Linked DNA regions of Daphnia pulex. The protein of the gene in region 1 binds, or shares a complex with, the protein of each later gene. Links are inferred from orthologs where the notes say so. Each region holds a gene or a part of one and is shown on either strand. Other genes may lie near its edges.

The links.
Region 2: the proteins of poly [ADP-ribose] polymerase 1-like (region 1) and histone PARylation factor 1-like are in contact, whole or in part, in a crystal structure (PDB 6M3I), measured with the Homo sapiens proteins. The link is inferred for Daphnia pulex from reciprocal best matches to the Homo sapiens genes PARP1 and HPF1. Residues at the interface, in NP_001609.2 of Homo sapiens: Thr825, His826, Asn827, Ala828, Arg865, Met890, Lys903, Asn906, Tyr907, His909, Ser911, Gln912, Gly913, His934, Lys953, Ser983, Leu984, Leu985, Tyr986, Glu988, Thr1011, Ser1012, Leu1013, Trp1014; in NP_060337.2 of Homo sapiens: Asn234, Val236, Asp261, Arg264, Leu265, Phe268, Gln272, Glu273, Thr276, Phe277, Gln279, Phe280, Asn282, Asp283, Glu284, Cys285, Tyr287, Tyr304, Lys307, Val308, Gln311, Leu315, Leu319.
Region 3: the proteins of poly [ADP-ribose] polymerase 1-like (region 1) and protein timeless homolog are in contact, whole or in part, in a crystal structure (PDB 4XHU), measured with the Homo sapiens proteins. The link is inferred for Daphnia pulex from reciprocal best matches to the Homo sapiens genes PARP1 and TIMELESS. Residues at the interface, in NP_001609.2 of Homo sapiens: Gln846, Lys849, Pro850, Phe851, Leu854, Arg878, Ile879, Ala880, Pro882, Asn928, Lys940, Lys943, Gly944, His946, Tyr992, Asp993, Ile994, Ala995, Gln996; in NP_003911.2 of Homo sapiens: Asp1036, Gln1040, Pro1043, Val1045, Pro1046, Leu1047, Thr1048, Glu1049, Glu1052, Glu1053, Glu1056, Ser1074, Gly1075, Gln1076, Glu1077, Thr1078, Phe1079, Arg1081.

The regions. Positions count from the first base shown.
Region 1 is NC_060024.1:8,490,939-8,498,292, reverse strand, and holds the start of poly [ADP-ribose] polymerase 1-like, read right to left. Parts: upstream 4,033-7,354; 5' UTR 3,875-4,032; intron 3,792-3,874; 5' UTR 3,759-3,791; coding exon 3,645-3,758; intron 3,580-3,644; coding exon 3,435-3,579; intron 3,368-3,434; coding exon 3,216-3,367; intron 3,145-3,215; coding exon 2,933-3,144; intron 2,876-2,932; coding exon 2,662-2,875; intron 2,569-2,661; coding exon 2,486-2,568; intron 2,415-2,485; coding exon 2,289-2,414; intron 2,231-2,288; coding exon 2,132-2,230; intron 2,068-2,131; coding exon 1,907-2,067; intron 1,838-1,906; coding exon 1,680-1,837; intron 1,617-1,679; coding exon 1,550-1,616; intron 1,292-1,549; coding exon 1,084-1,291; intron 1,004-1,083; coding exon 805-1,003; intron 726-804; coding exon 393-725; intron 332-392; coding exon 203-331; intron 136-202; coding exon 37-135; intron 1-36. Other genes in the region: uncharacterized protein CG1161-like, read left to right, coding at 4,323-4,388, 4,471-4,701, 4,765-4,890, 4,953-5,096; U3 small nucleolar RNA-associated protein 18 homolog, read left to right, coding at 5,670-6,136, 6,206-6,401, 6,471-6,656, 6,726-6,923, 6,993-7,161, 7,220-7,354. UniProt on the Homo sapiens protein: Poly-ADP-ribosyltransferase that mediates poly-ADP-ribosylation of proteins and plays a key role in DNA repair.
Region 2 is NC_060018.1:1,957,953-1,964,990, forward strand, and holds histone PARylation factor 1-like, read right to left. Parts: upstream 3,818-7,038; 5' UTR 3,743-3,817; coding exon 3,554-3,742; intron 3,496-3,553; coding exon 3,222-3,495; intron 3,159-3,221; coding exon 3,016-3,158; intron 2,945-3,015; coding exon 2,796-2,944; intron 2,713-2,795; coding exon 2,474-2,712; intron 2,403-2,473; coding exon 2,149-2,402; intron 2,090-2,148; coding exon 2,039-2,089; 3' UTR 2,024-2,038; exon of another isoform or gene 1,879-2,023; 3' UTR 1,707-1,878; downstream 1-1,706. Other genes in the region: proton channel OtopLc-like, read left to right, coding at 6,004-6,123, 6,356-6,440, 6,542-6,824, 6,973-7,017. UniProt on the Homo sapiens protein: Cofactor for serine ADP-ribosylation that confers serine specificity on PARP1 and PARP2 and plays a key role in DNA damage response.
Region 3 is NC_060024.1:12,850,582-12,857,727, reverse strand, and holds the start of protein timeless homolog, read right to left. Parts: upstream 3,764-7,146; 5' UTR 3,637-3,763; coding exon 3,540-3,636; intron 3,462-3,539; coding exon 3,127-3,461; intron 3,062-3,126; coding exon 2,927-3,061; intron 2,855-2,926; coding exon 2,201-2,854; intron 2,135-2,200; coding exon 1,575-2,134; intron 1,441-1,574; coding exon 1,262-1,440; intron 1,019-1,261; coding exon 956-1,018; intron 896-955; coding exon 823-895; intron 743-822; coding exon 532-742; intron 418-531; coding exon 275-417; intron 181-274; coding exon 95-180; intron 1-94. UniProt on the Homo sapiens protein: Plays an important role in the control of DNA replication, maintenance of replication fork stability, maintenance of genome stability throughout normal DNA replication, DNA repair and in the regulation of the circadian clock.

The DNA.
Region 1 (7,354 bases):
GTCCTAGCGTGAAACTACTTAAACTCTTCTACTTACTTCTTCCACTTCGAGAGTATATTGAGTATGAGTTGCTGCGTGAGTATTCTTTGCATACGTTTGAATAACACTAAATTCTTCGGAAGACTTGTCCAAAACCTAGAGATAATTTAAAAAATCAGCAATGATACGTAATACAAAACATGAAAGGGATAAATATTGTTACTTCAATTTCAGTGTTAAGCTTCTCATAGTGGGCATCGATGGGATCCTTATCCTTAACAGCATCGCCGGCTTTCAGCAAGCTGAAGGCCACCTCGATTTCCATCAAGCTCTCAAGCATCTCCAGTTTAGACTAGAAAACAAATCGAGATTATACTACATCATGCTGGAAGGACAATGAGTTAATCCATTACCTTAATGATTTCGTTATCGCTAAGAACAGGCGGAGTTTTTCTTCCAAAGTCGTGCGGAATGAGTGTGTAGAACTGATTCGAGATATCGAGGAATTTAGTCTTCGATACATCTTTCGAATCCAACATTTCCTGAGCCTGACTTAAAATCCCGTACGCCTTTTCTAGCTGTTTCTTGCTCAGTTTACCAAGAGGCATCTTGGTTAGATCTAATTCAAATTCTACCATCGTCCGTTTCATAGCTTCGACATCAAATAACATGCAGACCAATTCTTGAATAGATCGGTGAAGCTTCGATGTCGAATTGGCGATCGTCATACGTGAATCTATTTCTGACTGAAAGTGTGGAAATCACATTTTAAAAAATTGATGTCATTACGTAATTTCAAAAAGACACAAGAAAAATAGAAAATACCTCTCCGTAGTCAATATCTAGAGGGTAGAGTTTTCCGGGCTGCTTCTCAAAATTATCTCGATTTTCCCAAAGGTTACCAGTTTTCTCCTCGTACAGAGCAACAAAATCCTCTATTGCTTCTTGTTTGGTATCCATCTTAGTTAGCTTGGTATCTCCAATCGTTGTACCAACTCGACCCCAAGCACGGAATACATGCCACCTGTCGAATTAAAAAAAAAAAAAAAAAAAAATTATAGTTGTTATCTACAATTGCCACTGGGGGAAGCGAAGCCAATTTACTTGTTTCCTTTGTCGTGTTCAAGAATTTGAAGCTTGTAGTAAGAATTTCTTCCACCTTGAATGTCAACGATCCCAAGTACAACGCTGTACAGACCATTTTTCGTCTTCAGGACATGTGCTTTATCTTCCAAACCAGAATCGGGATCAACTACTCCTCCTCCTTTAAGTTTCAGCTTCAGTTTATCGGACATGCCTGAACCAGATTTTTCTGCAAACGAAAACACAATTTAGTTACGAGATTCAGCTTCGTTTTTAGCGTGAAATAAATCAACAAATATGTTAGTCGCGTATCTGTCTATGAGGGCAGACTTGGATCCCTTCATAGTCATCAGACGACTCAATTAATTTAGGATTGAGTTGTGACCTTGAACTTGATTTACTTGCAAGTTTAAAGCGTATGACTCCCCCATACTTATACTACAGTTTTTACTGGGAAACATTAAAAGTAATAAACAGTCCAACCAACCTGAGCCTTTCGATTTTCCAGAAGATTTCGTGGCACCCGACTCGTCCAAACCAAGACGCTTCTCGATCTAGATTTATTACAGTTTTTAAAAAATCTCAAAAATTAGGGCAATAAAAGAAAAAAAATTTACACTGTGGCAATCCCATGGTGCGATGTTTTTCTTCGTTATAATGGATGAGGCAGATTCGCCAGTGCTTGCTTTGATTGCATCCAAAAAGCTAAGGTCTACAACATGAATACCGAGTTCAGACGCTTTCTTCAACTTTGAATCCTTTTCTTTTAAATTGTCTGTAAAACAGTAATACCACATATAAAGGCTTAATCTCATAAGAGAAACTACCCACTCAAATTTCTAACCTTTCGTAGAAATTACGGCTGCAATTTTTTCGGTAACGCGCGAACCTACAGAACCTAGTAATTTTTTTATTTCAGCTTCGACTTTTTCTTTAGACTTTTCAAGCTTGGAATCAAGAATGAATTTCAAGCCTTCTAGTGTGGGTGGGCGTTTCGAATCGGATCTAAAAGAAAAAGAAAACATTAATAGACAGAACTAGCACGTTATCTAGTTGAGTAAATAGCTACTTTTCTTTTTTCACGTTCACTTCTTCGGTTGGATTCATACGAATAGTGCGAGTTAGCGCTGGGATTACCCTCTGTCCGGGAACATATTTGTACTTTTTCCTATAGAAGAATGAAGTTTAGAAAGTAACTTAATGTATGGCAACAACAGCCTTATTACAAAAATGAGTAATTTTCCGAGAGGTCCGATGGAACTTTGAATGGTTTCCTTTCGGGAGTTGTTGTCGAGTTGGGGCACTTCGTCCAGCCACTCATGTTTCCAGAGCATTGATAACCCATGCCACTCCTGTTGTAGAAGAAGAAGTAAATCTATATAGGTAAGGCTTACCGACTTGAAATTTCTATTATTTTAATCACTTGTAGAAAAACTGTCCACTTTTGCATTCATTGCATGGAAGCAAAGCTCCAAACGCCATTACATCGGCAAGAAGGTCCAACATCTAAAAAGATAAATAGCTGCATATAGTTTAACTATGCGACATATTGATTAACACTCAGAAGAAAATAAAAATATTAATAAAAAGTGCAAGTACTTCAGATGTTCCAGAAGGAATTTGCTGATCGTTGTATTCCAGCAGAATCTGGAGTTCTTGTTTTGTCAGAGTTTCCAACTGGTCTCTGTATTTAAACTGAATTTTATTTTGCTTCTTGATCTCTTCCTTGAGCTGTTCATTTTCTTTTTCTTCTTTCTTTATCTTCTTTGCATCCGAAGGTCCGTCGACAGCATCCCCGTCAACTTTTCGTTTGCTGAAAAAAGAAACCGTTATAATACATGATTTTCCAAATTTCGATTCTTGTCAATACTTAGCGGAAAGAGCAGGGAGTTCTTTTGAGAGAACTTTTTTGTCGTCGGCAGTTAGATCTTTAAATCCAGGGATTGTATCCACTCCGCTAACAAATTCTAATTCTTCTCGTCGCTCTTTAAAACATTTGACGTGGTACCACATATCCAACATTTGTCCATGTCTCATGCCTCCTTTGGTGTCGTATCCTTTCTTTGATATCCTCAATTCATCCTACAATTTGAACATTATAGACATGTTTGAACATGGATCGTTTTAGAACTTGCACTTAATGATTATAATACTTTTGCAATTTTTTCTAAGCAGCCTCGACATGCAGCTCTCCCAGATTTTGCATACTCAATTAGAAAATCAGAAAAGGGTTCAGCAACTTTAGCTGTTTTCCCCTTGCCTTTTCCTTTTTTACTTGGTTCAGCAATCCCACCTTCACTGATTTCTTTGGAAAAAGGAAATAGTTAGAAATCAACTAAATACAATGTATAGCAATATTAGTAATGTTTTACTTTTGAGCATCTGATTAATTTTCTCTTGATCTTCCCAGCGCAATTGATCAAAATGTTCAATGTCACCAGCTGATTTGGGCCGTTGCCTTTCAAAAAAGCAATCAAAGTGGTACCACGAAACCATTTTCCCATCAAATTTGGCAGCCTAAAACAACAATACTGTACTAGTGTACAAAGTCCAGAACCAAACAATAAAAAATAAAATGTTACCTGAAAGATTACAGCAAGTCGTAGAGTGCCTTGAGGAATGTTTTCTTTGCATTTCTTGCAACTAGCTCGACCCGTCTTTGCATATTCTGCTCGAAAAGGTAAATCATCCGCCATCGTTTTCTTCTGAAAATGAACGTCCCACGATTTCTGGGATTTCGGAAAAATCACAAAAAAAAACACAATTAGCATTAGCAGTTCATAATTTTAAATGAGATTGAAATGGGCCATACCTATATATTCCAATTTCCAGTGCACTCAGATAGTTTGAATTCTTGATTCTTTTAACACAATCTTTTCCACTACTTCGAGTACAACGTCCTCCAAACTTCGCAGTTCGCACTTCGCAGCCGACAGAGTTGGGCACGTTTTTAGGTAACAGTAGAATTTCGAGATGGCGCGCTAGGAACAAAACAGTGTTGTCAGATGGGGGCTCCTAAGTGGCGAAAATGGAGAAAAGTTTATTTAGAACTAAAAAGAATAAGTAATTAAATTTCAATTCCACAGTAACGTTTAAATTTTTATTGCTGTAATACATGTTTAACGACCCATTTCCTCTTTGAACAAAAACAATGTTTCTTTTTTTTTTTAAATAGCAAACCAGTTGGCGCCACAAGCTGTGGTCGACAGTCTGTCAGCTGTTTTGTTTCCGACAAATCAGTATCGGATTTTGCTGCAATTATGACACTTCGAAAGAGTTTCTTTCTTTCTTTTTTCGTCCTTTTCATCTTCTCATTCATCAGTGATGTATTGATTTTTATGTTTACTATTAAGAAAACATTGCTTAGAAATTTAATGATTTTGGTTTTGTTTGTTTTTGTCCTAATAGGTGAATGCACAGTATGAGGATGTCAGATGCAAGTGCATTTGTCCAGATACCGCCGTAGTAAACGGAACTCAGTCACATAGAAAACTTTACATTGAAAATGTTCCACCTAACAAATGTGATTGTACAAATGTTGTGCTCCCAAGGGTAGGGGATGATATCAAAGGAAAGGAAAAAGAATTTTGTCCACGATGTGAATGCAAGTACGAAAGCAGGAACACAACAACAATCAAGGCAAAAAAACTGTTGACATAATGTATTGTAGACTATTCTAATATAAATTTTTTTAAATTTCAGGTTGTTGTAATTATTGTTATCTGGATAATATCTCTACTAGTCATATACATGCTGTTTCTTGTTTGTCTTGATCCCCTTCTCAACAAGAAAACCACTACACAATATCAAGAACATAATAATGAAGAGGTATTCTATAAATTTCTCCCTTTTCTTCCTTCAATCATCTTTTTAACTAATTTATCCTACAGGATGAAAGTGAAACCCATTCTCAACCTTTAAGGGCAAGTGGAGCAGGTGTGCTCAACCGTGTTGGCCAAACTACTGATAAGTGGAAGAAAACTGTTCAAGAACAACGTCGACATATTTATGATCGACACACTATTCTTAACTAATCACTTTTCTAAATTCCAATTCTATGATCTGTAGATGTTTGCGCGTTTATTCTTATTCTTATTTCAAATATTTCATTCACCAACGGAAATAAAAAAATTAAAGTCTCATATCGTAGAGTTTAAGATTCTTTTTTCATTGAAAAATATCAGAGGGAATGTAACTTGGTAGGATACATTAGTAGGTTGCTGTAGGCCTACTAATCATGCGCGAAACTAGAATGCAGCCGGACAAGTCATAAAATCAAGATTCAGAAGAAATTTTCGTTGGTGTCTATTTGATAATATACAAAAGTAATAAATCATATTACCTCATTATTTTTATGGTTAATTCGCTAACCAATTACTTCATTAGTCTTCATTAGCCTGCGAGTCCCTGGCGAGTCCAGTCTTGTCCAGTCTAGCCAACTTGGGATTTGCTCCCACTATTTACCTATTTCAGATAAAGTGGATGTGGAGTTTGGAATGACTGTTGCAGACGAATTTAGTTCAAATTGAAAATTACAAGTTTAGAAGCACCCAAGCCATCAAGCACGTGTTTATTAAGGTGCAACAAACGAAGAAATAACACTTAAGATGGGACGCACATTTAAGAAAAAAAGTTCAAAACCGAAACCAGCAAAGAATGACGAGCAACTAAAAGTTGAGTCTACAGAGTTTCAGTTGGATCTTGGAGCCCTGGATGGATATGATTTACCAAATGTTGATGAAAATGAAGATCTTCATGAGGAGCCAAAAAGTAAGAAGTTGAAACAATCCAAACCTCAAGTCTTGGGCATTGACTATAGGGAAAGAGAAGAAAAGAGACTGGAAGAGTTGCTATTTGGGGAATTGTTTAAGAAACTGGAACAAGAACCCCAGTCTAAAAAAGATACGAGCAAAAGTTCTGCTTCAAAAAAAAAATTGAGAAAACAAATCTCCAACAAAGCATCTAGTGAAGCGAAAGATTCCCTTCCAGAAGATGTCTATGGTAAAAATCTAGGTTTAAGTTCAACAGCAGGAAGGCAAGCAGTCTGGGTTGATGAAGATGATGAAGATTTAAAGTAAGATATCACACTATTTATTTAAATAATTGTTTGTCATTTTATATTGATTTATTTGTATTCTAATAGGTGTAAAAATGTACAGTTTCAAAAAGAAAAGGGACTGGTTGGTGAAAAGGCCACTTCAGAAACTGTATACAAACAGGTCCTGGAGAAAAGGTTTGCATCTATTCATGGTCAGGTTACTCCTAAATGGGCTCAACTAGAGAATAAAAAGGGAAAAAAAGACCAGGACAGTGACGATGAAAAAGAGGATCTGACCAAAGTAAAACTTAAATTGTAACTGGAGTTGCATGATCTTCTTAATGATACTATTTTGTCACTTTATATCTAGACCGCCACAGATCTTTTAAGGAAGGATTCTATTTCTTTGCCGCAAGAAATAATTAAATTTTCGCGAATGTTAGATATCAATAAAGAAACTAGAGCAGAAGGACGGGTCATCAGTTCTGTCGAATTCCATAAAAAGCAAAGTGTTGCTCTTGTAGGAGGAAATTCTGGAGTACTTACACTTTTCCAGGTATTTTATATTACACTTGTCATATGCTATGTGAGTTACTTATAAGTAATTATTATTTTTTAAATTTAGGTTGGCGGATCTTTGAATGCTAAAATTCAGTCAATCACCTTCAAGGAATTTCCCATTCACAAGGCTCGCTTCTCGGCGAATGGGGAAGAAGTCATAGCTTCCTCGAGCGTGACAGGCAATATTCAAGTACATAACTTGGTGAATGGAAGGAACACAATCATTCCCCATAACAAGCAAATGGAAAAGGGATCGTACAAAGTAAAAATTTTTAATTTCTAATGTTGCAAGTCAAGTGTCTAAAAGTGTTTATTCGGTTGTATTTTACAGGACTTCGTTCTTTCACCCGACGGGAAGCTAATAGCTTATCAAGGTCAATATGGATATATTCATTTAATGAGCGCACGTTCTAAGGAATGGATTACATCTTTAAAAATGAATGGAGAAGTGCATGCCTTGACTTTTAACGTAGATGGCACTAGATTGTATAGTCATGGAGGTAAAAAAAAAAACTACTCGAATCATTCGAAATTTTAAATAATAATTTTTTCTCCCAGAAAATGGTGAAGTTTATGTGTGGGATATGAACGCTAAAGTGTGTGTCCATAAGTTCGTAGATGACGGGTGTATTAAGGGAACGTCTATTGCTATTTCACCTACACAGCAGTATCTCGCTTGTGGTTCTTCTTCTG
Region 2 (7,038 bases), on another chromosome or scaffold:
TAAAATTTTTAGAAATAAAATAGTAAGAAATTTAGACACATGCAACAGGTTTCTGAAGTCTACAACAATGAACGTCGTCTATTAATAAATTACGTGTCACTGTGTCAGTCAGTGAATGGACAGATTCACCATGCGGACAGCACGCGTTTTGTATAATAATTAATATTATAATTCACCTATAATTCGCTGGTGAAAATGTGTGAATATATGCTGTATTAGATATTAGTACGAGGTGAGGTCCAAATTCTACCAAAGTCAATGAGCAAATAAATGAGATGGATTAGACGGTTAAGACGTCAATTATCCCGTGAAACAGTTAACTGCAACGTCGCAATTTCTACAATGCAATAAAAAATGAACGGAATAAAAAATATTTTCAACTTTTTAAATACGAATTACGAAGGATGAAGCAGCAGCATTAATATGTGAAAAGTTGACATGGAAATTCTTGGGTCGCCATAATTCGTCATCGTCATCGTCATCGTCATCGTCTTTTAGGGACTAAACTGCGGAATGTGTTGTGGAAATCATGAATCGGCCACCAGAGGGAGCCGCTTGACTTCTACTTGGCATTTCGAACAACCACTACAGTTTTTTGTGGTTCGAACATGGTAGTACAAATATCTTTGAATGTCTAGCTCTAGCGTAATGCTAATGCAATTGGTGTAATGCATTAAATACTTAAAACTATATATTGACATTATGACTTATGAGTGCGATGATGTGATCCGTTCAAGATAAAATACGTGGTGCTTAGTTATTATATTTTCATGTCACCTCTGGAAAATTATCTCTTTAATTTGATAGGAGAATACCTTGAATTTATATACGACTATATATTTATATATAACATTATATTGTTACATTTATATATTAAAATATATATAATTATATGCAATATTATATAACCGCATATAATAATATTTAATATCACATGTTTTCATGGACGTGACCGTTCTACGTGCATATACGACTTTATATATTTATATATAACATTATATATTAAAATATATATAATTATATGCAATAATATATAACCGCATATAATCATATTTAATATCACATGCTTTGATGGACTTGACCGTTCTATGTGCTTCCGTATCTTGTGTACCCTCTTATATAAACGTATACACATGTATAAGACCCTATTTTATTTGCAAAATCCTAATTATAATTAGATTCTCAGAGGTTCTGATTGAAGCGTGGTTTTATAACTTGTTAAAGGATGTCTAGTTATCTACGACAATCCGCCGACTATTTTTTCGGAATTAACGTCTATTTTTATTTTTAACGTTAGTTTGATGTTTTCTATGCGTGAATGTTTCAGAATACAGGAACATTTTCTTAATTTTTTTGCATATAAAAATTCGATTTAATTCATTATTGCCTATTTTTAAAATAAAACAAGCATAAAAATCTAGATAAACTTGCACAACTTTAGCCTATGACTATTTGAAATCCAGTGGTGCCCCCTGGTGGCATCCACAGCGGATCCCGCATTTTAGCCCCCTATGGGCAGACGATGACGATGACGATGACGAATTATGGCGACCCGAAATTCTTTCTTTTTTCTTTTTGTAAAAATAGGTAATTAATTAAATTTTTCTATTTCTTTGATTACTTTACAGTAGTTTGCAGTCATCTTGAATTCTTGATTTCGTTTCCCTAGATTTCTTTTTCGATCTAGTTAAATTAACACATTCAAATCGGAGATTAATTTAATTTATTTTTTTGTTTGCAACAGCTTCGAGAATGCTCGCGAGTCTTGTCAAACGAGACAAGGGTTGCTACTTGCTAGACTGAAATAATTCTTCTTAAACCAATCCATACTAACAAATGTTTCAAAACTTGCTGGGGGATCTTCGCTTTAGTTTGCACCTAAAAAGGAAGGCACACAAAATCTTTAATGGTATCCTGATCATGATGGTCTGAGAAGAAATAATATACAAAATTTTAGAAAAATTATATTTATTTCTTCACTCCAGACATTTTATGAAATAATCATTAAATTGAAATCAAATACCGTACAAAAGTGCATCTATTTTACGGCATCGTTCTTGGCCAATCGCCGTCTTTCTTTCATGTGTGCCTTTTTAAATAATTATACAGCTGTTAATAAGACAAGGTAAATAACTGTTATCGGATTACCTGGAGAATAACGGTGAATTCATGGCGTTCCAGCAGTTCGTAAGCAACGCTCAGTAGATGAAGTAATGTTGGATGGAAAACATCTCCTCCATAGGCCAACAAATCTAATCCAAGCTCTAAGCCCATTCCGTAGTCCGATTCATCGTTAGCATACTGCACATAAGTCACCAATTCTTGAAGGGCATCACTGTTCTTATTTTGTTCAGACAAATTTGGGCTTTCAACAATTTTTTTGCAAATTTTTTTTATGTTAGCTGAGGAAGGAGAAAAAAATAAGTTTCGGTATTTAATTCACATGAATTAACATGAAAAGAAGTCTTCTTACCATCTGTCTCTGGTATTTTTCTATAACCAACTTGTGTTTTTTTATCTACAGGAACCACAATGCCACATTCGTAAAACGTCTTAGCAACCATGAGCTTCTTTCTCTTTTTTACAATCTCACTCTGGGGCTCAATTATGATATCATTTTTGTTTGCCCAATCTTCTAATTGCTTTTTCAACGTAGCCAGTTGGCTTTTTTTAAACGGGTCGGCTTTCTTAATCCTCGCAGATATGATCTGACTACATATAAACATGTAATTAATTATATAACCTAGAGTGATGTGTCTGCGCGTTTCAATTTTCTTTTCTCAATACATGCATACCTTAGAGCAGAGAAGAGATTATCGCTCATGGGAGTTAAAACACAGCCTTCTGATTCCGTGTTGGAACCAACAAACATTGGCATTTCATTTGGGACGTCACGGAAATACCCTATATGAAATCCTTTGCTTAGGTCATCAATCATTACACACTGAAATAGGATATTAAAGTTAAAGATCTTATAATCTGGAAATAGGATCATTTTTTTAGTTTAGTTTCTACCTGAAATTCAGGTGGATCATAATAAAATCGCCACTGTGTCAATGAATTGCCGCATTTTTCCTTTGGTTTACTTCTGTTTGAGTTTTGTTCAAGTAGTTGAAATGGACCAACTAATTCTAGTCCAAGAGAATCCTTAAATGTTTCTGAAGATGGCCATTAACTCAGAATTTAAATAATTGTATATTACCTTAATTTATGTAGCTTACCTAAAGTATTTTTTGAACAGATAGATTGGCAAAATGCCCAGAACTCATAAAAATCATCTGGCATGTCAACAAGGAACTTAAGCTTTATATTTTCCTTCACATCTTCAGGTGAAGGTGGCAATTCATCATCAGCTTCCAATTTAGTTTTCTGGGGCTCACTTTCCTGATTTGCCAAGAGATTATTGCTATCGTCAATCCCAGTTTGTTTTTGTTCTACAATTTCAGTTGAGCCTGAAGCAATCACACTTTCATCAGTTGTTTCCCCCTTCTCATCCTATAATTATAAACATGTTTGATTAACTAATACAGTTTCTTTTCTTTGAAATAGTTACTTCTAATTTAGGTTTAACGACGACGTTGTCTCTGTGAGGATGCCGAAATTTCTGTATATGATTCAGATTTTTTTGGTAGCATTTTTCACCATATTTACAGAGAGGTTTCTTCGGTTCGGTGTCGCTGTCTGATGACGCTTCATCACTTTTAATTCTTTTTCTCTTCAGAGCTTCGTGTTTAGAATCCATTCTTCCTGTCGCTGATCAACGAATCCCCAGTTTGTAAAAACAACAACATGCTTTGTTGCCAGTTTTTAATTTATAATTATTGATATTTGAAAGCGCAAATTTTAGTCTTAGCTTAGTATTTGTATTTTACTTTATTCAGCTTTATTCTCCTAGTTATTTTTGTTTTAATTTTGCTCTTTGTAATCTTTCTGGGAGAAAAATGTTTAGTAATTATTTCAGATTTAGTAGTTAATCTAGTGATCGTAGTTTAAACTATAGCTATAGCTATTGACAGCATGCGTACCGCTGTAGGTTGTACACGTCACCATTTGTAAAACAAAATTTTTAACCGAATCTTATGGGGTTAAATCATCGACAGGTTACAAAATCGAATAACTTTGTTCTTGTTGGTTGTAAATAAGTATGGCATAGTACTACCATCACAAGTATCGTATCTACTGTACAAAATTAACGCAAGAGGAATGGTTCCTAGCTCTTTTGGCCTCAACGAATAATTGAAGATTGCCTTATATGGTATCTTGAAGTGATACTGCACTACAGGATCCCAAATTACTTTGTTTCTTTGTCTTTCACAAGACCAGATGTTGAATTTGACGTATAAAATTGCTGATGTATGGCACCCGCTTTGTAATTCCAACCGTCGGCCTCCTTTTCGGTACATTACCGGTACCGTCAATGCGCTGCTATGAATTACTTCTGTCTATTTGGGTTCCATGAAGTAGAAGCTCTGAATTAAGTCAATCAGTTTGATGGCATTTAAATTACGAGCAGACACGAATGGAGGTTGTTTAAAAAGCTGCCAATAAAATTCTAGAAACACCACAAAAATTTGTACGGCGTATACTTTAGGCATGTACAGAACAAAACAGCTCTTTCCCCAATTTCTTGAGAATTGTTGATCACCTTTGCGTAACCAAAGTAAGAAAGAAAAACCGTGGACGCAATTTCAGGTGTTTCAGCTTATCTTGTTCTCCACGCCAATCATGACGGCCGAATCAGAATCAGCCTGACTACCTGAATCATTTTGTGGTTTGCGGTTGATTTAACGAGGAAGGTCTGGGTCAACTTGGCCCGTGAAGTTACTGGAACTAGAGGCCACCTTTACCTTTTTTGGCCGATGACGTTTCGGAGAACAAGACACGCTAACGAGTTTCTTGTGGTTCATCCATTTCCAGGTATTGAGCAAAAAAAAAATATAATTGTGAATTTTAAAATGGGTTAAGAGTGGTGCGATTGGAATGGTTCCGTGTTCTTCGAATATTGGGTTTCACAAAAAAAGAGCCTAATACTGGCTATTCTCTCTCCCAAATTACTCAACACAAAAAAGAACAGTTTTATATTAACAATGTACTATTCTCTAGTATAGTCTTCGACAGTTCTTTTGAACGTCTCCATAAGCAATTCCTTTGGTTTTAAGAATCGGCGATGATTTGTCGCTCCGCAAAACAATTCAAGAAAAGTAGGCTATCGTATAATAGATATTTAGTTCACTGTACAGACTTGATGGTCTATAAAAGAAAATGTGTCATCGTAGTGTCTTTATCCCCCCTCCCCCCAAAAAAAGGCTGTAATAAATTTCTTTGTCAAATCGGCTTAGCTCTTCCCTGCTGACTTACATCTTTGCCAAAAAGTTTATACCCGCAACAAATCAAAAATATTTTTAGTTATCTTTACACGAATTCCTGGAGAGAAAGTACGCAATTCTGTGAGAACTAGACTACCAAGTAGAAAATCAAAATTTGATGGTTAGAATATAATATTTTACGTCATTTAAATCTTTTCTGCGCCGATAAGGACCCCTCATACGCTTTTTATGTTACGCAAGCATGAAAAAAGCCATGAATTGAATTGAGTCCTTTAACGGGAACTATTTTGTCTTTGTCTTGTTTGTTTTTTTATAGCAAAAAGAAATGCAGTGACGGAACTTTCACTCGGTCCTATACTGGTTCGCTGCGATCGGCGTCCATTTTCTGTCACGCTATAAGCAAAAGCCATCATCTGAGATTCTTGCGCGTCATCAGTCACGGACAGCTACAGCTACTTTACTGTTGCAAAACGAGGGAAAAAAATGGGGAAGGACGAACCGACTTGGTAAAAGTGATAAAGGTCTGAAACCACTCAACTGATTCAGATCAGTAGAAGACATCGACTGGATCGTATTTGTGTTTACCGATTTCAATCATCAATCTTCATTTTCAACGAGAGTAGCACAAGGCTTCCAGAGCTGTGAGCCGTAATTTAATGGCAAAAAGGAATTCGCAATGCTCAATCGAGTGCTTCGAAGAACCGCCGATGAGTGCTTCGAGGAAAGCAGTTCGCCATGCTGGGCGTACTATTACGGATGCGAAAGACTGCTGAATTTTGGACCTCAGGGCATTATCGTAAGTTTGAGATTTTCAACATATCCTTGCCGATTGGTTGGCGATGGATTGCAATGCCGATTGCATTTCTCCTGTATCGTAGCATTTTTGACGTCGCAGCTGGTCAGAGCGATATCTGCTCGAGATAGTCCCTCACAGTAGCGTCCGAGATGCCACAAATACTATAAATGTTCGCCATCCATGTTGAGAAACGGAGAAGGGTCAGGAACAGGGAATTTATTTGAATTGACAGGTGGGCGAGGACGGCAGCAAGACTGTGGTGAAGGTACCCCAATCATCATCGACAATCTCGACCATCTTTCAGGTTGACTTTAATGGTGAGTCTCGTCGAACTGCTGAGTTCGCTGAGTCTGGACGAAAATAATGAGTAACATTATTCTCTTAACCTCTTCTTTTTCTTCGGCTCCCCGATTGGTAGAGCGTCGATGGCCACCGCTGAATTATGAGACGAGCGACGAAGAGGAGCTCTCGGCAACATTTGACTCTCTCGGGCAGGATGAATTGGACGTCCATCAATTCGAGGCCATGGCTGGAGCCAGTGCGACCGACGAGAGTTGCCGTTACTCAACGCAGAGTTTCCAAGATTATTCTTTCAGGGCTGCTGCTGCTGCCGTCGTTCCAGCGACGTGCTCCCGACAGCGGCCAACCATCGTGAGGTCAAACACCCCGCCCCCTCTCGGGAAAACCATTACACCATTGCGGTACTATACATACTATCATCGAATTTGCTCACGCATAGCGAGAGTCATCGTGTTGTGCTGCTCAAGGATATACAAATCACGTTGTTTATACTTAACACATGCTATACAATCCGTATTTTTGTTTCGTGGGGGGTGATTGGATTGTCAGAGGGAACCTTTCGGTCGTGCTCAGCGCTATCTACTGCATCTTCTTGTACGTATAGACTTGCGACAA
Region 3 (7,146 bases), about 4.4 Mb from region 1:
TATTTCCCATTCGGACATCACAAGACGGATTCGATGTCAAAATAACCGGGAAGCACGACAAGAAAAGGAAAAGAAAAAAGCGCTCGTTATTTACCCCCTTCTTGGACGTCTCTGAATTCTTGATGGAGCCGCTGCAATTCATCTTCTTCCTCTTCGCTCCAGCCGAAACGCGAGCTGGGGCTTTGATCAAGAACAGGACAGATTATTTTAATTTTAAATTCGACGAATAATTAAGATGACAAATGAATAATGAGTATTTCGTGTCGCTTCTTACTCTTGGACATTGCCGTAACCAACTTCGATCTCGGCCGCCTCGCGGGCCGTCTTCCAGAACAGCAGTTCCACAAAGATTTTCGGGTTGACTTGTGCCGTTTCCGCAAATTTTCTCATGATGTAAATAGCAAACTTGTACAATTCCTAATTGCACAATAAGAAGAAAAGTTGAAAAAAAAAAGTTATGTAAAGAAACAGGACGAAAGAAAAAATTAAATGTAGTAAATCGGAATAGAATGATAATAAACCGATAATCACTTTGACAGTAGTTTCAGTTTTGGCCCGCGGATCGTCCATGATTTTATGGAATGTCTTGAAAATGGACAGCTGAAAAAGCATAGCAGGCATTTTGCAATCGTAGGCGATCCGGTGGAGAATTTTGATCACGCAGTGGTTCGTCAAAGTTGTGTTGGTGGAGTAACTTCGCAAGAGATGGCAGTAACTTTTGACGACGTTTTTGTGAGCAAATCTATTCCCAGATGGCACAAAGAAATGAATCCGATTATTTTTACATTCAAAAAGAGAAAAAAAAAGGACAATAAATTTTACCTGCGAATAAACTCTTCAAATTGAAGTTCTTTTTCACTCCTTCTGACTGTCGACATCTCCTCTTCTTCTTCCGCTGTAGTAAAAATAATAAAGTTTATTGAATACCAAACAGTACAATAAGTTGAACAAGTACCCGTTTCTTTGTTGTCAGCATCTTCTTCTTCGCTTTCGGCATTGGGCTCCTCCCCTGCAACATCTACTCAGGAAAAGGACGGCAAAATTTTTAAGATGAAGACTTTTATAAAAGGAAATTACTCTTAAATGCAAAACAGCTAATGAAAGAAATGCTCTTTTTAGCTGTAGCTTTGTCATCCATCAAGTTGCTCAACCAGTTCTTTTCCATTTTTTTCTTAAACGCATTAAAGAGTTAAAACGCAAACCACCCATGGTAAACTAGAATAGTCGATGATTGTGAATAATTTGAATTACGATCACTTACGCGGTAATTCGGTATGATAGAGTTCGCGTAAAAGAAGCAGCTCGTCTTCTGGACCCACTTCAGGAGCACCAAAGACTTCCCCTTCCGGCCAAACATCACGACAAGCCCGCAGTAGAGCCACAGCCAGATGGGATTTGGATTCTTTCAGCAGTTTTACGATTTTTCCCATGGCTATAACCCTACATTCCAACAAAAAGAAATGATACAATTGTGAAATTTATACAAAATTGATTTACGTTGATAGTGAAATAAATTGCGTCAACAATTTTCACGTAGTAATTTGTGACTTTGCTACTAGCCAAAATTCGTTTACCTTTGATCATCTATCGGGAGATCGGAGGCGGCGTCAAAGGGAACAACGTCGTCGGTTAAAGAAGGTTTTTCTTGTAAGGCCGAGCTGATCTCCACGGCAATCTCGTCGAAAATTGGCGTGGGCGTTTCTTCCTCCTCCGACTTCTTTTTCTTCGGCTTGCTCTTCTTCCGCTTCTGAGGCACTTTTGACTTGTTCTGGACGACCAGATGACGATTGCCCTTTGCGAACTGTTCAAAGAGTTTCAAGAAGATGTGATTGGTTTCGACCAAATCTTTCAGGTAAGTCAGCGAGTGTTGATTTTCTTTGTAGTTGAGGAGCAAAACGAGGCACATCTCGCGGTATTCTGGCACATAAAAGACGTTGCTTTTAAGGACTCGAGACGAATTGCGGATGGATTCAGAGCCGTATTTATCCATGGCGTTGAGCGTCATCAATAACTCTTGGTAGGCGCACAGAGCGACATTGAGCCGACGGGACCACAGAGCAGCTTTCTTCTTGTCTACCGTAATTGATTCCGAATAAGTTTGAACCTGGTTCTGGATGTAATGGAATAACCCAATCTACCAAGAGAGAAGTTATCATCATTCCTTTTAATGTAATTGAAAACACAATTAATCATTCCTTACCGACATGGTCTCACTGACCAATTCGACCCGAAATTTACCGCAATTGCGGTTAAATTCCATGAAAAACTTTACGGCCCATAAGTAATAAGTTTCATCGTGATCTTGGGTTTTCAAACGAACCAGACAGTCTTTGACGATGTGCATCAGGGAGTTGTAGGCGCCATTCAGCATTTGGAGACAGAATTCTTTCAGCATTAAACGAATGGAGAGGGTCGACTTGCGTGTCACATTGCAGCTGGGCAGAGGCATCCGGTTTTTGGCTTTTCTTTTGCCTGTCTTATTCTGGTGGAAATCGATGGGTTTACCATCAGTCAAAGTTCGGTGAACGATTAGGTCTTTGTCAGTGATCGACTTGACATCTTTCACGCAGAAAGTTCCACGAAATATGGAACTTCTAGAGGCGGTCATCTTTTTGTATCTAGCTTCCCGTTCGCTGCTTTCTTTTTGGACCATGGCTACCAGTTCTTCCGTGTCCTTCTGTTTTTCAGCAACCGAACGTTGGGCAGCTGTTTGAGCAAGAGAAGCGGGATTCTGCTCACGTAGCATGAGAGAAATGATTTCCATAACATGCATGCAAAAGTGACGCTCATTTTCATTAGACGCGAGATAAATGATAACATCTTCCATTCCAGAGAGATGCATGGACCATAGCACCTGAATATTTAATTTAGTAATGAATGAAAACTGTGAATGAACGGTCAATCGTTAATCAAGTCTGTATCATACCTGATCGTGTACGCTCGCGTCATCATCTGTTCTTTTTTCGTCTTCAGGTGTAACAGGGATATCTAGGATGTTTCTTATCAAAATGAGAATTCTTTCTGTTAACAGCTTGTCATCTTCCATTCGATCTTCTGGCTCCTGAAAGAGTGGAATAATTTTAGCTGGATAATTTATTTGTAAGTCTGAGTAAATTAAAAACTAACTTTGACTAAAAGCAGCTTGAGTTTATCAGTTAAAACCATCCAAAATTTATCAGATGCTAGAACTGGTTTGTAACTCTGTAAATGGCCAACATGTTGCAGGTAATAGTTTCTCTCAACTTTATCAGTTGGCATCTCTTCGTTGAATAACAACAGGGTTGGATTTGTTAGATTCACGAGAAGACGAAGTGCAACATCAAACAAGGCTTCATCACTGTGATATTCACAAAGAATAGGTATCAGATTAGTCTGAACAAGTTTCATCTGTCCAAGTTCTCTTCTGATTCCGATGGTATCGTCATCTCTTCGAAGATAGCGAATCAAATCCTTCAAGGCCTCTACAAAAGAATCAAATGCAATGTTTGAAATTACAACATTTGGTGCAGGAGATGGTCTCAATTAAATCCCATTATTACCAAGGCAATATTGATCTTTGAAATATTTATTTCCTTCTGTATAACCCAAACTGGTAACTGCAGCAGTTAATTCTGCTTTCATGAAAGGTGTTACCATTTTATAAAACAAAACAATTATTTTACAAACAATGAAAATTAAGACCGAAACTTGTGTTCATGTAGCGACATAACCGCCAAAACTAAACTGAAAAATCGTCTGCTGAGTAATCACGTTGCCATGTAAATGGCATGTAAACTAAACACTGCCCATGAATTAATTTTCATAAATAAAGTAGACGTTATATTGATTTAAAAATTATTCAGTGTATTATCAATACTTATAACGAATTGAGTTCCAAAAGATTTTTTGGTAAAATTGAGTGGAACAATTTTTAATGTTTAAAATAAATAGACAACGTTAGGATGCTGAGTTGCCAGGTCTGGAAAAGGTCGAAAATCTCGATTAGGGACAACATGCCTGAAATTAACACAGCCCTCTTATGGATCGACTCAAGAGCGGATAACCCCTTATGGGAAAATGAACATGGTGAGTGGGAACCATCTCCTCCATGTGTCCATGGTTTGGTGAGTACACTTGGTGAACCGCGCCAAAGATGGCAGCAAAATTGTGAACGACCATTTTTCCCGATGCCAGATGGCGTACAAAAAATCACGTCGTCCCCCCCAACTGTCATTTTTCGTTCATATTAGAATCTGCCACACATTTCCCAAGGCATTCAAAACCGCTCGCTCAAATCAAAACCCAACTGGAACAATCACACGAAGCAATATGGAAACAAGTAGAGCGGAAAGTATGGCAACATCTGGGTCCTTTACTTCAAAGGATTATCGCCAGTTTAAAAACGAAACAACCAAAAAATATATATCTCTAAGTGGTTTGATTTGATTCCTTTCTCACGGCGTTTAGCTGCGCGCCAGCGCCCACTCTTTTCGAAATGAGAAAAAGACGGGAAAAAAATAAAAAGCTAGAATAAAGAGAGAGAATAACCGGTCGATGTGTTGTAGACGTATATATGTTTGTGTGTCTGCGTGTTTTCATCTATTATTTGAAATCCTCGGTTCAATAATCAATGCAGAATCCCATCAAGTTTCATTTCTCTCTTTTTTTGCCCCCTTCTTTCCATCTTCCCCATTTCGCCGCCTTCATTATTGATTCGCTAAATGTTTGATGACATGGCGCGCACACATGGCCAGTGGCTATATACAGTATCTCCTCTAGTTCTCTCTCTCTCTGACACCCCGTTGGTCCATCTCGACGTCCACGCGCTGTCGGCCATCCATGATCAATTGAAATAACCTGTAAACTACTGCTGGCAACTCTCTCTCTCACGGTGCCGTCTGCTGCTGCTGCTGCTGAGCGTCCACCAGCAACGCTTCACCGTGATTCACTTGCAGCTCATCACTTGGTGAACGACGGAGGGTGGGTGGAAAAATCCAATTGGCCTGTAATAGCCCAGGGGAGGGACGCTTGGCGCGTATGTATATACTTTTAATTTCATTTGCACGCTGTTGGATGTCAGCGCGAGCGCGGGTACCGCGTCCATCATCTAAATTGGATGCTGCGCAATTGGCTCCGCTCTTGCTTTCCATATCTACCACCCGTTTTGAATTTCATCATGTTCAATCCATTTTTTTTTTCAGAGAAAAAAGAAAAGAAATTTGCCACTCCCGGAGTTAATGGGTCGGTGTAACAAAGAGGGGAGAAGATTTGGCGCTGTAGGGGTGTCGTGATAGACGACAGTAATGGCTAACCCCCTCCGGCTAATAAAATCGGCTAATAAATTTTCAACAAATGCGCATAGTCAAGGGGGCTAGAGAAAATGCGATGGCGCGCCAAAGATTTGTGAATTCCCGCGGGAATTGAAAAAAAAAAGTGCCATTCTTCTTCAAGCCCGGCGCTTCCTGCTTGAAAAAAAGACATCGTAACGCAATCCGATATTTATTAGCGCCAACTCCTTTCGATATGCCATCCGAAACTTTGGGATCCCTCAGCTATGTAGTCTTACCCCCGATGGAAAAGTTTCCCGTTGAAATAATAAACGGGAAAAAAAAATAAAAAATAAAATAATCAGCCCCCGTCTGTCTGACTCTGGGTAACGGTTGACTCGCGCGTGTTTGAAAAATAAAAAGGTGAGAGACTATAGGACGACGTCTTAGGCTTATTGTTTGTGATAGAGATCGACAAGAGAGTCAAACACAAACAACAAGAGGATCTACAACGGCTGCTGGAGAGCTATACACTATAACATCCATAACAGATATCGCATCGTCTTTCCTTTGTTGGAACCAGTTTTCCTATTCGTTTGTTCCTCCGATTGTATCGATCGAAACGGTAGGCCTCACCCCCCTTGCCGACCGCTGGATTTATTTTCAGATCTGCTTTTAAAACAAAAATTCATATTGGTCGAAATGAAATTCACGGTTATTGGCGACCGAAGAAGAAGATGATGGAAGGCCGGAGGAATCCGCGAGAAAAATGGGAGAATCGAATCGAATCAAGAGAGAGATGGGAAAGAGACGTCTACCGCGACAGGGCAGCACTCGCGGTATATACATAGTGGCAGTTCGTCGTTTCATCTGGTCTCAAATTGCTTGGGAAAAGACAAGAAAATAAAAAGAAGGCGGAATTCGACTCACGAAAAAAAAGAAGGAAAGGGGGAGAAGAGTAGCTACTCTGCCATCTCCGCCGTCCTTGTGATCGAGTTCATTCGCCTAAACTCATCACGTCCCTTTTGTCTGCCGCTGGCGCTCCTTTTGACATACACGATTACACGAGGGAGAAAAATCATATAAGTCTTCCAAGCCTATAAGAATAAAAAAGCAAAAAAAAAAAAAAAAATGAAAAAGAGGAAAAATGAAGTACAGAAAAAAAGATGAAGAGAGTCCATCTTACATTGCCTCATTTCCGTCCTGATCCTTGACGTCGCAGACAAGCGTGAAATTGAATTATATACACGTTTTTCTCTCCCTCCGAGGAGCGAAACATCTTTTTTTTTCGTACGTCAACTGTTTCGCCCCACCGATGGAAGAAAAAAAAACAACAACAATCAGCCCAGATTTGGATTCCCGAAAATTCACGTTAGACTAGACTGCGGACAGCTACGACATACAACAAAAAGGGAAATAATACGCGGGCTATTTAAATCTAAATCCGTCTATAATCTCTACTTGTTTGTTTTTTATTGGTGTTGGGTCACCAGGAACGCCACTGACGCAAAGCCCTTTTATGTGGAAGAAGAAGAAGTTGTTGGGGTTGAACCGTTTGATAAAGACGACGAACGCAATGTACAACAAACAGCAGGGGGGCTTCCGTACACTCTCTGCCGTATATACTGGCGGCAAGAGAGAGATTACGGTTTGGACCGTGCAAGTGCGCACGGAACTCGGGCTGGATAGACGGAAGTAGCAGCAGCAGGAGAGCCTTAGATATATATATGTACCTCAGTCTCACTGATGTTTTATTTACCAAAGTTGGAAGGGGGGGGGGAGAACGGCCTTTTTCGTCGCGGTAATCCTCGTTGCTGTTTCCCTTTTCAACGGTATGGGATATGGGACCAAACAAAAAAATTCTTTTCCTGCTGAGCTTGGCTCTTTCTCTCCATCAAAA